Linked DNA regions of Drosophila melanogaster. The protein of the gene in region 1 interacts with the protein of each later gene in a pairwise test. Each region holds a gene or a part of one and is shown on either strand. Other genes may lie near its edges.

Evidence for each region. The genes of interacting proteins can lie anywhere in the genome.
Region 2: the proteins of CASK (region 1) and eag interact in binary tests that used the Drosophila melanogaster proteins (3 or more experiments, as listed by UniProt).

What each region holds. Positions count from the first base shown.
Region 1 is NT_033777.3:21,819,248-21,825,363, forward strand, and holds the start of CASK (CASK), read right to left. Parts: upstream 3,428-6,116; 5' UTR 3,236-3,427; intron 1,777-3,235; 5' UTR 1,459-1,776; coding exon 1,400-1,458; intron 520-1,399; coding exon 407-519; intron 1-406.
Region 2 is NC_004354.4:14,952,732-14,959,182, forward strand, and holds the start of eag (ether a go-go), read left to right. Parts: upstream 1-2,745; 5' UTR 2,746-2,818; intron 2,819-3,133; 5' UTR 3,134-3,398; intron 3,399-6,451. Other genes in the region: CG9030 (uncharacterized protein), read right to left, coding at 1,470-1,715, 1,817-1,990, 2,053-2,265. UniProt on the Drosophila melanogaster protein: Structural component of a potassium channel. Mediates the potassium permeability of membranes; potassium current is regulated by CaMKII and CASK. Has a role in growth of the perineurial glial layer of the larval peripheral nerve.

The sequences.
Region 1 (6,116 bases):
GCTGGCAGTGGCACTAATGGACTTAGCGCTGACTTATGTGCCTGCCATGTATCATTTAGTCAATGGTCGGATGGCTGCTCCTCGTCCACATTCACATCCACGTCCGGGTTCGTGTCCATGTCCTGATTCAGGCTCAGGTCCTGGCGCCCTTGCACTTGAGCAATTTCTTTTTAATTGGCGTCTTGGGCTGGCAAACGGGCAGCCCTGGGGGCGTGCTACACGTGTGGCAGCGGCATAATTTTGAATAATTGAGCAGCTTAATTATAATTTATTCACACAGCGCTCTGGAGGAGTCAGGAATCGGTAGCCCGGGGCCAAATCGAACAAGGTCGTCTCATTGTGCCGTCAAAAATAAAAGCGGAGTGTATACATATATATATAGGTGTATTGTGTATATAATCCTCACCCGCTGTGCTCAGTCCAGGACTCGCTGTGAACTTGGCCACATCAACGATTTTGACGGCAAACTGCTGATTGGACTCCCTGTGTATGCATCGCCTTACGATGGAGAAAGGTCCTCTGTAAGAAACAATCCCGGATGGGGGGGGAATAAAGTAAATTCGGATTAAACTTCAATTGAAAGTTGATTGTGTCTAAATGGGAGCGAATAAAATTTTATCTTGCTTCGACAAAAGCAAAATATTTATATTTTCCGAGCGTCTAAAAGCAAACAAGATACTTGAGAAAGAGGAAATTTAATCAACTATGTATTCTCTTTGTAGTTACAAACGTGGGGTTTTAATACAAAAGCTTGCCATAACATTACTGATGATTATTTTACAAATAAATTTTAATTTTCTTACAAATTCCTATTCAATAACTCATTTAAAGTCAAGCAACGATTTCCTATCATCTTGTTTTATGAGCGTGATTAATTTTTATTGAACTATGTCACCAAGCTGAATTTGGAAAACTATTGCGATTCAAGGTCGTCATTTTGCTTATAGTTTATAGATTATAAATTGCAAAAAATTAAAAAACGTGCTATTTAGTGACTCACACTTCATTTTCAATAAACTTTAGAAGTGTGTTAATGGAACATTTTCAACATCAGTGAAAAATATTTTTCCAACGAAATTAAACAAAGTTCAACTTAATAACATTGACAGCTTTGTGAATGAACTTCTGGCTAAACTATGATGATCACAGCAAAAGTAACTAGCACAGAAAATGTTTGGTCATACATTTTTGAATAATGCAAAAGTTGGGCGTTTGGGAAAGTTTTTTATAGAGGGGAGCTGGCTTCGTCCCAGGCCAATAGTTGCATGATTTACGGCTTCTGGGTGGGTGGGATGGGCATACGGGGCGGATACATAATACATAATGAGATAATGGCCATGGATGCCAGCTGTCAGCAGCAGAATCGGCTAAAGATATAGCCGGTGGGGCGCTAACTTACTTGCCAATGACCTCGCACAGCTCGTAGACGTCGTCAAAGAGAATTTCGTCTTCGGTCATTTTGAATAATTGATGAATTGATGCCTCGACTCAATTGCTTTTTCGAATATTGATGAGTTGTGTCCTGTTTTTCGTGTCCGTCGCTTTTCCTTCTCCCGCTTCCTTTGCCCGTCGTCGCCTACTGCCCTCCAAAAACGAACATAAAAAATAAACAAAAAACTAAGCGGCCAGTGAGCAACTCCAAAACTTTGAGCGTTTTCCTTCGGTTTCTTCTGATGATTTGTTGTTAATGGTATTGTTATTGGTGTCGTTGATTCGTTGTTGCCGCTAATGCTGTTGCTGTTTTCGTAGCTGCTGATGTTAAGAATGCATTTTGCGCTGGAAAAATATAACAAGTGAAAATGGTGAAGGTGAGTTTTTCCATTAGTTGAAGGCCGCTAATCAGATTTATTTGGCGTCTAATTAAGAAACTGTCAAGAAGCTTTGCGAGAATTCTGTCAAGCAGATGACGCAAATATAAACAAATTTGTTTACATTTGTGAAAAATTATACACAGATTTTAATCAAGAAAATTTGCTAATAATTTCCTAAATATTTTGTAATCTTACTTACAAACTAAGTTAAGTTTATAATGCTATCTGAATCAATCAAATTGAAAATGCCACTATAAAGTTGGGCTGGCGTGTTGACACTTGTGTGATGGGAACACTTTTCGAGGGACCACTGTTAATGGTGTCGCAACGGAAATGAGACTGGCCTGGCCGAAACTTGTTTGATATGTCAATCACACTCATATCAGGTGTAAACCCCAATCAATTACAGGCGGCACACACCACAAATGCACAAAATGCTGTCGAAAGTGCCAATGGTAGGAAGGAAGTATCCCCGCACAGTGGGCGTTGTGAATTTTGCAACGGAAATGATGGCCAGCTGAAAAGGTAAACAAGCCAGCAGGACCTGCAGAATGTGTCCTTTTCGAGGGTCTCGTTCCAAGGATGTTCGCGGGGAAAGTTCGCAGGGGGGGAGGGTGGATGGGAGGCGCTACCTTTGTCTTGGCCATACTATTATTATGCCTTTTGGTCCAGCACTTGAACATACTTTTCAAAACTTTGATGGCACTCCAAAAATCCGAAAGGAGAAAGCCAGAGAGCGAGAGAGTGTGAAAGAGAGCGAAGGAGTGCGAGAAAGATGGCGAGCATGGATGTAAAGTGCGCCGGCGCCGTGGGAAATTCGTGTAAAGCACCAAAATTGTAATCGTAAAAAATATAAGCTATGCTTTCTGCCCGGGCTGCATGAATATTTAAATGTGCAACAATTTACGATGCACACACGAAATGTGGAGAACTGAGTTGCGACTGCGAGAGCAGGACGGAGCATTTGCGGGGAATCCCCGCGAAGGACTTTCTGGTAGTCATGTTTAATGCAGAGCTGCGCATGGGGCGCGGTGTTTTTGGCTCGGTTTTAGTATTCGGGCTCGAGGGTTTTACCTTGCTCGTGTGCCGCTGTTGTAAAATGCCTTGACACTTTCCACACGACCTTACCGCCCACCTCACTAACGCACCCACCCACACCCACATACACTCACTCACTGACTATGTGTGTGCATTTGGCCCTGCTTTTAGGACTTTTTGAGACTCTCGAGTGTCGCACAATTGGCAAATTGATTCTTTGTCTAAAGGATTTGCATTGCTCATGTTCCACGCCCCCTTATCAACGACACCGCCCCCTTTATCGGCCACACATAGAGGGGGCCACACTCACACCACACACACACACACACACACGAACACACACTGGCACGAACAATTCGCATATAGTTTTATGTACGAAAACCCACCGATTTGGCAGCGATTCTTCAACGGCCGCTGGTTTTTGGCATTTTAGCGAATCGCATTAGCACTCGATTGTCTAGGTGCGCAGCACGAATCGCCTGGCAAGCTGATTGCATTGGGTAATTTACTAATTTTAACTTAAAACAAACACGGCCCGTGAGGAATTGATTGGCGAAGAACTGGTTGCAACTGAACCGGTTCGCCGCGAACTAGAATTCCAGGGCTGCAGGTGCATTGCTGGATTGGTTCGGAACTTGGAGTCGGTTCACGGCTCTCCCATTGAAAATTGATACCAACCTGTGTTCATTAAAAATATTGTTTTTAAAATAAATTTAAGGGTGGTACTGCAGCAACTTACTTCGTTAATCAAAGTTTTAATTCAAGAAAGTTTGTTTGAATCAAGCAACTGGTTATACTGGAAAAATACCAGAAACCCGTTGGTATCTAAGCTTTTCTGTCATTTTGTTATTAACTTTATTTGGTCTGTTAAAATTTGCGCGGAAGTTTTTGAAAAAAAGTTTTGGGGACGAGAAAGTATAATTTTGGAATATTGTTAAGAATATAGTCATTCATAACGACACAGATGTTTTATCGAAATTGAAAATAAATACTATTAAAACTTTAATTTTGTTAAAGAAAAAGTAAATTATATTTTCCTGCTCCTTTCTCTTCGGTAGCATTTTGCATATGCTTTTATTTGCTTGACTTATCAGCAAAAGGCAGTTGTTTTCCTTTGATAAATACCCACTGCATGCTTAATAAATTTACTCGAAAGTAAGATAATTCATTGCACACTGAATTGTTTCCGCTTGAGTGAAGTCAAATGGAGGTAAATATTTATGCGGTACGCAAGCAAGTGCATAAAGCTATTGTGGAATATTGCACATACGAATTTCGAACACTTTCCAGTTTTATCGGCAATACGATGCCAATTACCATTCATCAACTTGAAAGTAAACATTTTCCCCTTCAAAAATGATTCACGATTTATTTAACTGGACTAAGCCACCAGTGTGTTAATACAGGGATTTTCACTACAGAACCTTTATCAACTTACTTTATCGCCAGGCTCGTTCACAGCTCATTGAATATTACCATATTATTTACATTACTTCTCTTTCGCGCCATTCAACTTTATCTATTATTATTATTATTACCCCACAGCATTTGATAAACCCATTAGAATAAATTAAGATCTTGGCATTAATATGCCAGGCACACACACAGGAGTCCCTCAACCGAAGACGAGGAAAACCCACACGCACTCCTCGAAAATAAAAAATAAAAACCGTAGGTGCGTAATCTTTAAATCAGTTGGAAGGGGCTGGTGACGGGGGCCAATACTCAAACATAAACATCATCAATTACAAAACCTCGAACAGCAACAACAACAACAATCACCGCCAAACGCCCAACGACAACAACACACAGATAAGATGCAAGAGAAACAACAAGCCAATAAGGGAGCAACAAACACAAAACCATCAGCCAAATGAAGAAAGACCTGATGAAAATGAACTCAATATGGCCATATTACTACGGGGGATATAGTCGAAAAGGATAAGCACCAACAACCATTTCGAGATGAGCAGCAAAAACAACAAGTGTTAATGATCAGCAATAACAACAGTGGTCACCCACTAATGTCCACCTTTCGATTGTAAAATAGCAGCCAATTAAATTATACGCACTATGAAATATTCAGAAATAATAAAAAAGTAATTAATTTTTTTTTTAATTTATACAACTTCTTTCATAATTTGTGAGATCAATCAAATAGTTTGGGTATAAACTAAAAAGTACACACCTTCCTCATTCTTAAGTGGTTTTACCTACTTGTATCAGCCAGCTAAAATATATAGAAAAGAAAAAAAAATTTTGTTTTTTTATTTAAAACGCGAATCTTGAAAAATATATATATATAAAAATATTATCCAATTACCACTGTACCCTAATAAAAAAAAAGCACAAAGCGGAGATATAATACACAACTCACGGTGAGAAGTCGTAGGTCGTTGCTTTGCATTTGTTTGCTGCGTTGGTTGACAATAAAAAAAAAAAACAAAAACACCAAAAGGAACACGGTAAGCAGAGCAGAAGGAAAAAATCGGAAAACAAAAATACTCGACTCGATAAAAGGAGAACAACAAAAGGGCAGGGAAAAAGGCTCAGCCACTCAGGTGAAATCAAAATCAAATTCAACGCCAACGATCGACTCATCCCCATCCCCATCGCGGTTACCTTTCCCAGTTGCTGCCAGTTCCTTGTTTCTTGCCCCGCATATCCTCGCTCCATTCGCCGTCTCTTTCTGTGGCGATAGCCCCGTCTCTTTCCCGTCGCCGATCCTCGTTCTCTGTCGTTCTCTGTCGCCGGTGATCGTCATCATTTGGACTTGCGACTGTCGCGCTTAATGCGTGTGGATGGACATGAACGTGTAGGATTCGAATTGACATTATAAAAACGGGTTTGCTGCCTCCTACGTTCCACGTCCTACGCCTACGTCCCTCGCCCAGGATTTTCCCCCCACCCCTCTTTCTCGACCAGCTCCGCTAAGGCTTGTTGTACCTGCCTACTTGGATCTGATTCCTGTTCGCTGTTGTCTCTAGGATATTACATACCTGCTGGCCGACGGGGAAAGGTGCGCGCCAAAAAGATAAGAAAGGCAGGGGAAGCGGATCCTTAACAATGGTAGCGTGACATCCAAATGATCCGATAATGACAGTTGATAGGCGAACCCATCGAAAATGTCAGATTTGAGCATGTTAAATTCCCAACGATTATATTGTATTCAATTGTGACTAATTTCGTCATCGGCGCTATTTAATGCATATCTTTTATTTGACTTGTAAATAAATAAACAAGGAATTGTGATCAAATATTGACAGT
Region 2 (6,451 bases), on another chromosome or scaffold:
AATTAAATTAGTAAACGTGCTATAATGGATCACTAATGTATTATCTGTTAAGTTTGGTATAACCAGTCTTAAATATAAATCATGTTTCTATGATAGAGATCTTCGAAATGTTAACGTTTCGGATCATTTTTTTTTTTAAATAAAGCGTAAAGAACTACGTGGGGCTTTAAAGGTTATTTTAAAAACTAAATGATAAGATCTACTTATGTAAATAATAAAAGATACTGACTTCGTTTGTCTCAACTTTCTCTTGAGACTTATAAAGAAGCCCAACGATCAATAAGTAATTTCTGTGTAATGCCAAGAGAAGATTTTATGATATTTTGCGTACAGATGTTGGATATGCTAAAAGTTCGAACTAGCCTGTGCGGGAGCATGCAAAATGTGTGCGTTTCGCGCAAACGAGTCGTCGTACTTTCTTGGTGCTGTTTTGTGTTGAACTTTGGACCCTGGCTCAGCCCCCTTCCCCTTATGACCGTTGAAAGCGGGACCAAAACAAACTCCAAAATGTTTATCTCAGCAAACCAGTTTTTCTCAACTTCATTAAGACGGTTGCATGTGAGTTTTTGGCTTCGTTTTTCGTTGCTTTTTTGTTTTATTATTATACGTCTGTTTTTCTTTTCATTTGCTGCAGCTCCAACTTGTTTATCTTGGCTATTTTCGAGCTTGGTTATGGGTGGGATTTAGATTTCAGAGGTGAACCCAACAGCCTTTTCAGTTGTTTTATCAGTTTTTAGTGGGGGGATTTGCCACAGGTTACAGTTTTTCGTCTATCACTCACGCAAACACCTGCGCACTAATTCGGTAATCTGTTGTGCTCAGTGTTCGCTGGGGAACTGCCACCAACTTGATGCTCTGTCCTAAAAAAAGGGTGCCGTGGAGCGCGGAGGTGGCGGGTCTGAACGTCTTTGCAACGTGCTCTCTTGAAAAGAGAGGTAGATGGTGAGCGAACACGCTGCTTGCGGGGGTGGGTTTAGACATCAGTAATGGTTATTTAGCCATTTTTTTTTTAATTCTATATTTTTATTTTTATTTTATAACAAATATTTAATAGATAGATAGAAAGTGACAGTATTACATTTTGTCATATTTCATGATTCCTAAAATCATGTTTAGTACCAATATTAATCATTACATATTATTAAATGGGTTTTTTAACCTCAAAAAGAAGCTTTCAATTCCTATTTAAAACAGATCTATTTATTAAGTTCCTCTAAGCCTAAGTTGTTCTTTAGGATAAAATGTGATCCATAAAGCTTAAAAACCAAAAGCTTTATAACAATTGAAGCGTTAATAACAATGTTGCACATGTGCGCTACCTGTTGGTCAATTGCCATTACTCGGCACAACATCCAGGTGGCGCTGTTTTTGTTAAATAATTAATTTTTTTTATTACATTTTGTTAATATGAGAAAAATACAGTACGACGTAAAATGTAGTTAAATATTATTTTCACTTATTTTGACAATTTATGGGGCATATCTTTCCATTGACCACCAAACAACATCCTGATAACCGTAAAATTCGATCAGTTGCCTGAGAGTCGACCGCACAGAAAGGACACAGTACAAGTTGATAACCGGGATCAAAGTCTTGAACAAGAAGCCGTTGCCTATAGTCCTGTTCACTAAGGCATCTGACAGCACCAATAATATATCGATGGATGTAATGGTGGCATAAATCACAAACCATGGACCAATGTAATGCGGCTTGAGCTGGATTCAAATAATGTTTACAATATATTAATGGAATTCAAAGAAGTTTTTGAATAGATATCGTTTTTTTTTTTTTTGTATATGATATTTTTAGTACTCACGGTGGCCAAGGCGTATAGCAGTATTGTCCACGCCGTTAACATTAAAATGCATCCGATGATACGAAAGCGGCGCAATTGCTTGTATTTGAAATTCTTTACCTTCCTTAGCCGATGCGACTTCTTCAGATGCGCCTTCTTGAACAAAATGCTTATGAATTCTAGACAATTGTGAGTCTGTGTTGAGATAGGTGTAATAAATGCACATCTGAAATATAAAGCAATTTGCATATACGCACCGATCCAATGATACTAATGCCCAGAGCATAGTAGAACATGAGGGGGAATATCTGCTCGGAGAACCAAAACAATCTGCCTGCACGCTGATTGTTCGCATCGAAATTAGGCGGGAACTTCCAGATGGAGTATGTTCTGCAGGTGGGTAAGGGTATATCCATATACCTGTGCGCAATGTAGCATAGCACATCACTGAGACACCTTTTGGTATACATGGCGAACTCAGCTAAAGTTTGTACAAATCAATTTTCAATCACAAAAGATGCCTGAAAAATGAGTACAAAATTTTGGTGCAAAGGGAAATGGACTGACTGACTGACTGAAGGGTGACGAATAAAAAATGGAAAAGATTAGATCATTAAAACGTGGCCAACTACTCTCTCTGACGACTATATCATTTTTCCAGTGAATGGAGCTCTTTAAATTCGCCCAGTTTATTTATTTGAAAATCGATAGGAATCGTGTTTCTTTGCCATTTAACCGTTTTTGCCATACGTGCTGATATATCGATACTAACGTGAGTAGCGCCACCTAGCGGGTGGGTAGAACGCTGCACACCATCGATGATTGTCAATGTGAAAGTAACGGTACAATCGGCAGCGACATCGATGTTTTCCCAGCTCTAGCAGCGCGCAACTCACTCGTAGTCGACTTTTAGGTGCGTAGTCGCGAAAAACTATGAAGACGCAACTCTCGCGTCGAGCGGTCCTCAGAATCCGGGATTCGTCCTCCAGTTCGAAAATCCAGCAAATAAATCCAGCATTTTGTGTGCGCCAATCGAATACGATTTTTTTTTATTTTTTTTTCGCCTGAAATATTTTGAAAATTACAACAGTGTAAACGGTGGGAGGGGGTGGTGGTGTGGCGAGAGGGGATTTATGGAAGGGGGAAGTGGGGGCGCCGCGCACGTGTCGACGTCGCAGTAGGCGTCGCAGTCGGCAATTGTTGCACGCTGCTGATCCTACGCGTTTCTCGTTTCATGTTCTTTCTTGTTTGTTGTGTGCTTCTTCGTGTCCCGTTAATTGTTGTTTCTTCTTCTTGTCCTCCTCCACCACCACCTTCACCTACGCTGCTCAACTGCAGTGCAAAGTGAAACGCGAAGAACGCGTTGCAGAATAATCACATCGCAAATACGGCGAAGGCAGGAAAAATTGAAAAGAATTGAAGAATCCAGCGAAAACCAGTGAAGAATCGGAATCAAAGAAAGTATCGGAATCAGCGGAATAACACTAAAAATAAACATACTTATATATATATTAAACATATATATACATATATGTATATATATTTAACCACCATTTAAAAGCAATCAAAAAGCAACTAAACAAACAACAAAAAGCAACAAAAGGTAATCACAAAAGGCTAGGACGAAATATTGTGTAATAAACTTGAATTTCTTTTACTTGCCGCAAAGAAATGGGGAAAAAAATAAAATGAAATAATATATAGAAAAGGAAGCTAGCGAAAGGGGAAGAGTGAGCGAGAAGGCGGCATAAACACACTTCTAATTGTAATTGTTGTCTTTTGTCGTTCTGCCGGCGTCGCTGTCGGCGCTAAAACTTTTTCCTGGCGGCGCAAAAGAGACAGCGCGAACGGCGAAGTTTTGCCCGAAAGAAAATGTAAGGAAAAGCAAAGAAAATTGAAATGAGCAGGGAGCCAGGAGTCGGAGTCGTGGAAAAATGGAACATAATAAGTTAAATTTGCGTGCTCTTGGTTTTCCGTCGATTCATGCTTCGTTTTTTCATTATTTATTTATTCAGTTTTGCGCTGGTTCCTTATTGTTTTCTTAATTTCTTGATGTTTTTCCAGCTATTTCCTACTCCCCGTCATTGAATGTGTGTCAGCCAACAGAAAATGAAATGCGCAATTATGTCAGCAAGCAAATAAAGCGAAAAAAGTTTTAGCAACTACATCAATTGCTTGTTTTTCAAGTGCAACCAACACACAAGCACTCACACACACGCACACACAACGCACTTTGCGGTTGCATAAGTGTCAAACGCAACACACGCTTACAGTTTGACAGTAATTGCGCTCAGAAGTTCAAAAGACAACAAAATACGTTTATTTTTGTGGGAAAATGAAGTCTGTATTATTTAATCAGTGCACTTATGCCCATGTGGCAACTTAATCTAGCTGCAGTGAGAAAAAGAAAACGGTCCTTGAGCAGAACACCAAATAAGTGTGCTATAAATATAGTTTTTACGAATTTCAGATATGCAGTGCGCCTATGCAATACGAATTTAACTTTGCTGCCAACTGAATTTGAAGGAGTATTTGTATTGTATTTCCGGTGCTCGCAGAGCAAAAGGGTATATTCGATTCGTATATGTTTAAGTGATAAAAGTTTCAATGTAAAGGTGAAAAAGAGTGCAAATGTGGGTGGCCTGCGTTAGTTGACATCCGTACAAGATTGATATTGATGCCCTTTACACCCACACAGGCGCAACATTACAAACGCTCCCAAACGCACACACTTACATATGTATACTCTCACAGACACACACATACTGTGAGTCACAGCAACAGGAAACGGGTGAAACTACTTAAATATTTAAAGCATTTGATGCCGAAAGGAGAGGGGGCGATAAACAGAGCGAGACGGAGAGGGGGAAAATTGAATGGGTCGGCCCACTTTTTGCGCCTGGAAGTATGCAAACAATGCCAAATGGCACCAGCACAGAAATGCCGAGTAAATCTTGAGAGCAAGTTTTCCGCCCGCCGAAGAAAACGCGAAAAACCCACAGCCAGGAGAAAATAAAAGAACAACCAAATTCACGAGAAGAGCCCAACAATTTTGTCACGCATGTGTGGCTACAAGTGTGTGTGTGTGTGTGTGTGCCTGAGCGTGCGTGTGTGTTTGTGGGCCAAATGAAAAGAGCCAAAACATTAAAAATGTACCAGCAACCACAACAACACAAATGACAAAAATAACAAGAATAACGGGAATAGCACAGGAAAAGTCCAAGCTGACGGGCGCCGCAATTTGCTGTCAACATAAAATAAATAAAATAAAATAAAAAGAACAAGAAGCAATACCCACACACACACACACGCACATATGTATATGGCCAGTGTGTATGTGTATATATCTTGTTTATAAATCTTTTGTACACTTTTGGCAGTTGACTTTTAGCGCCGACTGTTCCCATTTTCCCATGTTTTCGCATTTTCACGTTCTTTGTAATTTTCAATTTTACTTTGCGCATATTTAATAGCACAAATCGTAAATTAGATTCGCCACACATACATATAGTCCTATTTGTGCACTGAACGCAAAATATGCAGCCTTTAACGGAATAAAATTAAATATACATATATTCTAAGCGATTTATTTTGCAAACTCATTATGATCAATATTTAATTTACATACAATTTTCATACAATTCAGTTAAATATCGAAATTATCTAGAATCTCCAATTTCTATCAGTGTCTTTTCCCTAGCTCCCACTTTTATTACCCAAAAGTTAATGAAGTGTAAGTGTTGTGGAAGGGAAAGGCCCTAGGAATATCCTGCCTAATCAATCAAGCGGCACCAATAAGCCTTTAAACAGATTTGCAAATTTAAAGCATTACGTACTGTGCACGAGCATTTGAATGGTTTGCCAGCGGATTTCCATAGAATATGTTAAATGCCTAACTGCCACCCGTCACTTTTTATATTTTATTCTTTCCCTGACCCTCCGCAAGTGTTTAATGTTTGACATCCGCTGGCATCCGTGTTGCCTTGCCGTCGCTTCCGTTTCCGGATGCTGCTGCACTTCCCCTGCGCACCCTGCTCTTCAACTAACTGCATTATCGCTTATCTACACTGAGCGGAAATGCGGTAATTCATAAATGATTTGCTGCTTCGATTGGCTCATTTATTTTTCGAAGCAAATCATATTTCACCAATTACATCTATTCCAATTGCTTGTATATAGTTTTAGATATTATTTATGTTTTTTATTGAACAGTGTATAAAAATAAAGTTAAGCCTCATGGCTTAATATTTATCCAGAAGCTTCGTGGCAGGTCCCGCCATATTTTTCTACTGAGGTTTCGTTGCGCAGGCAGTGCGGCACTTATCGCTTATATATATGTACAGTGAAGCCAGACCAGTTGGACCACCTGCTGACTTCCTGTCAGATTGTCAGATTGTCAGACTGGTTAGCTTGGCTTTTGGCTGCGGCTTCTTTGCTGGCAGCTGCTCGCAGGACTCGGAAAACTCGCTCCCCGCGTCCTTGTCCTCGTTGACCTTGTGCCCGAGATTTGGCTGTCTGTCGTATCAAAACAAGTTTATTAACATTCCACTGGCTATCAAAGCGGTGCTGTGCTACGCACCCCCGGCCCCATCCCGCCAAGGCAGTTGGCAGGTGCCCAGGGGTTGGGGGCTTTGGGTGGATAGACAATTACATATG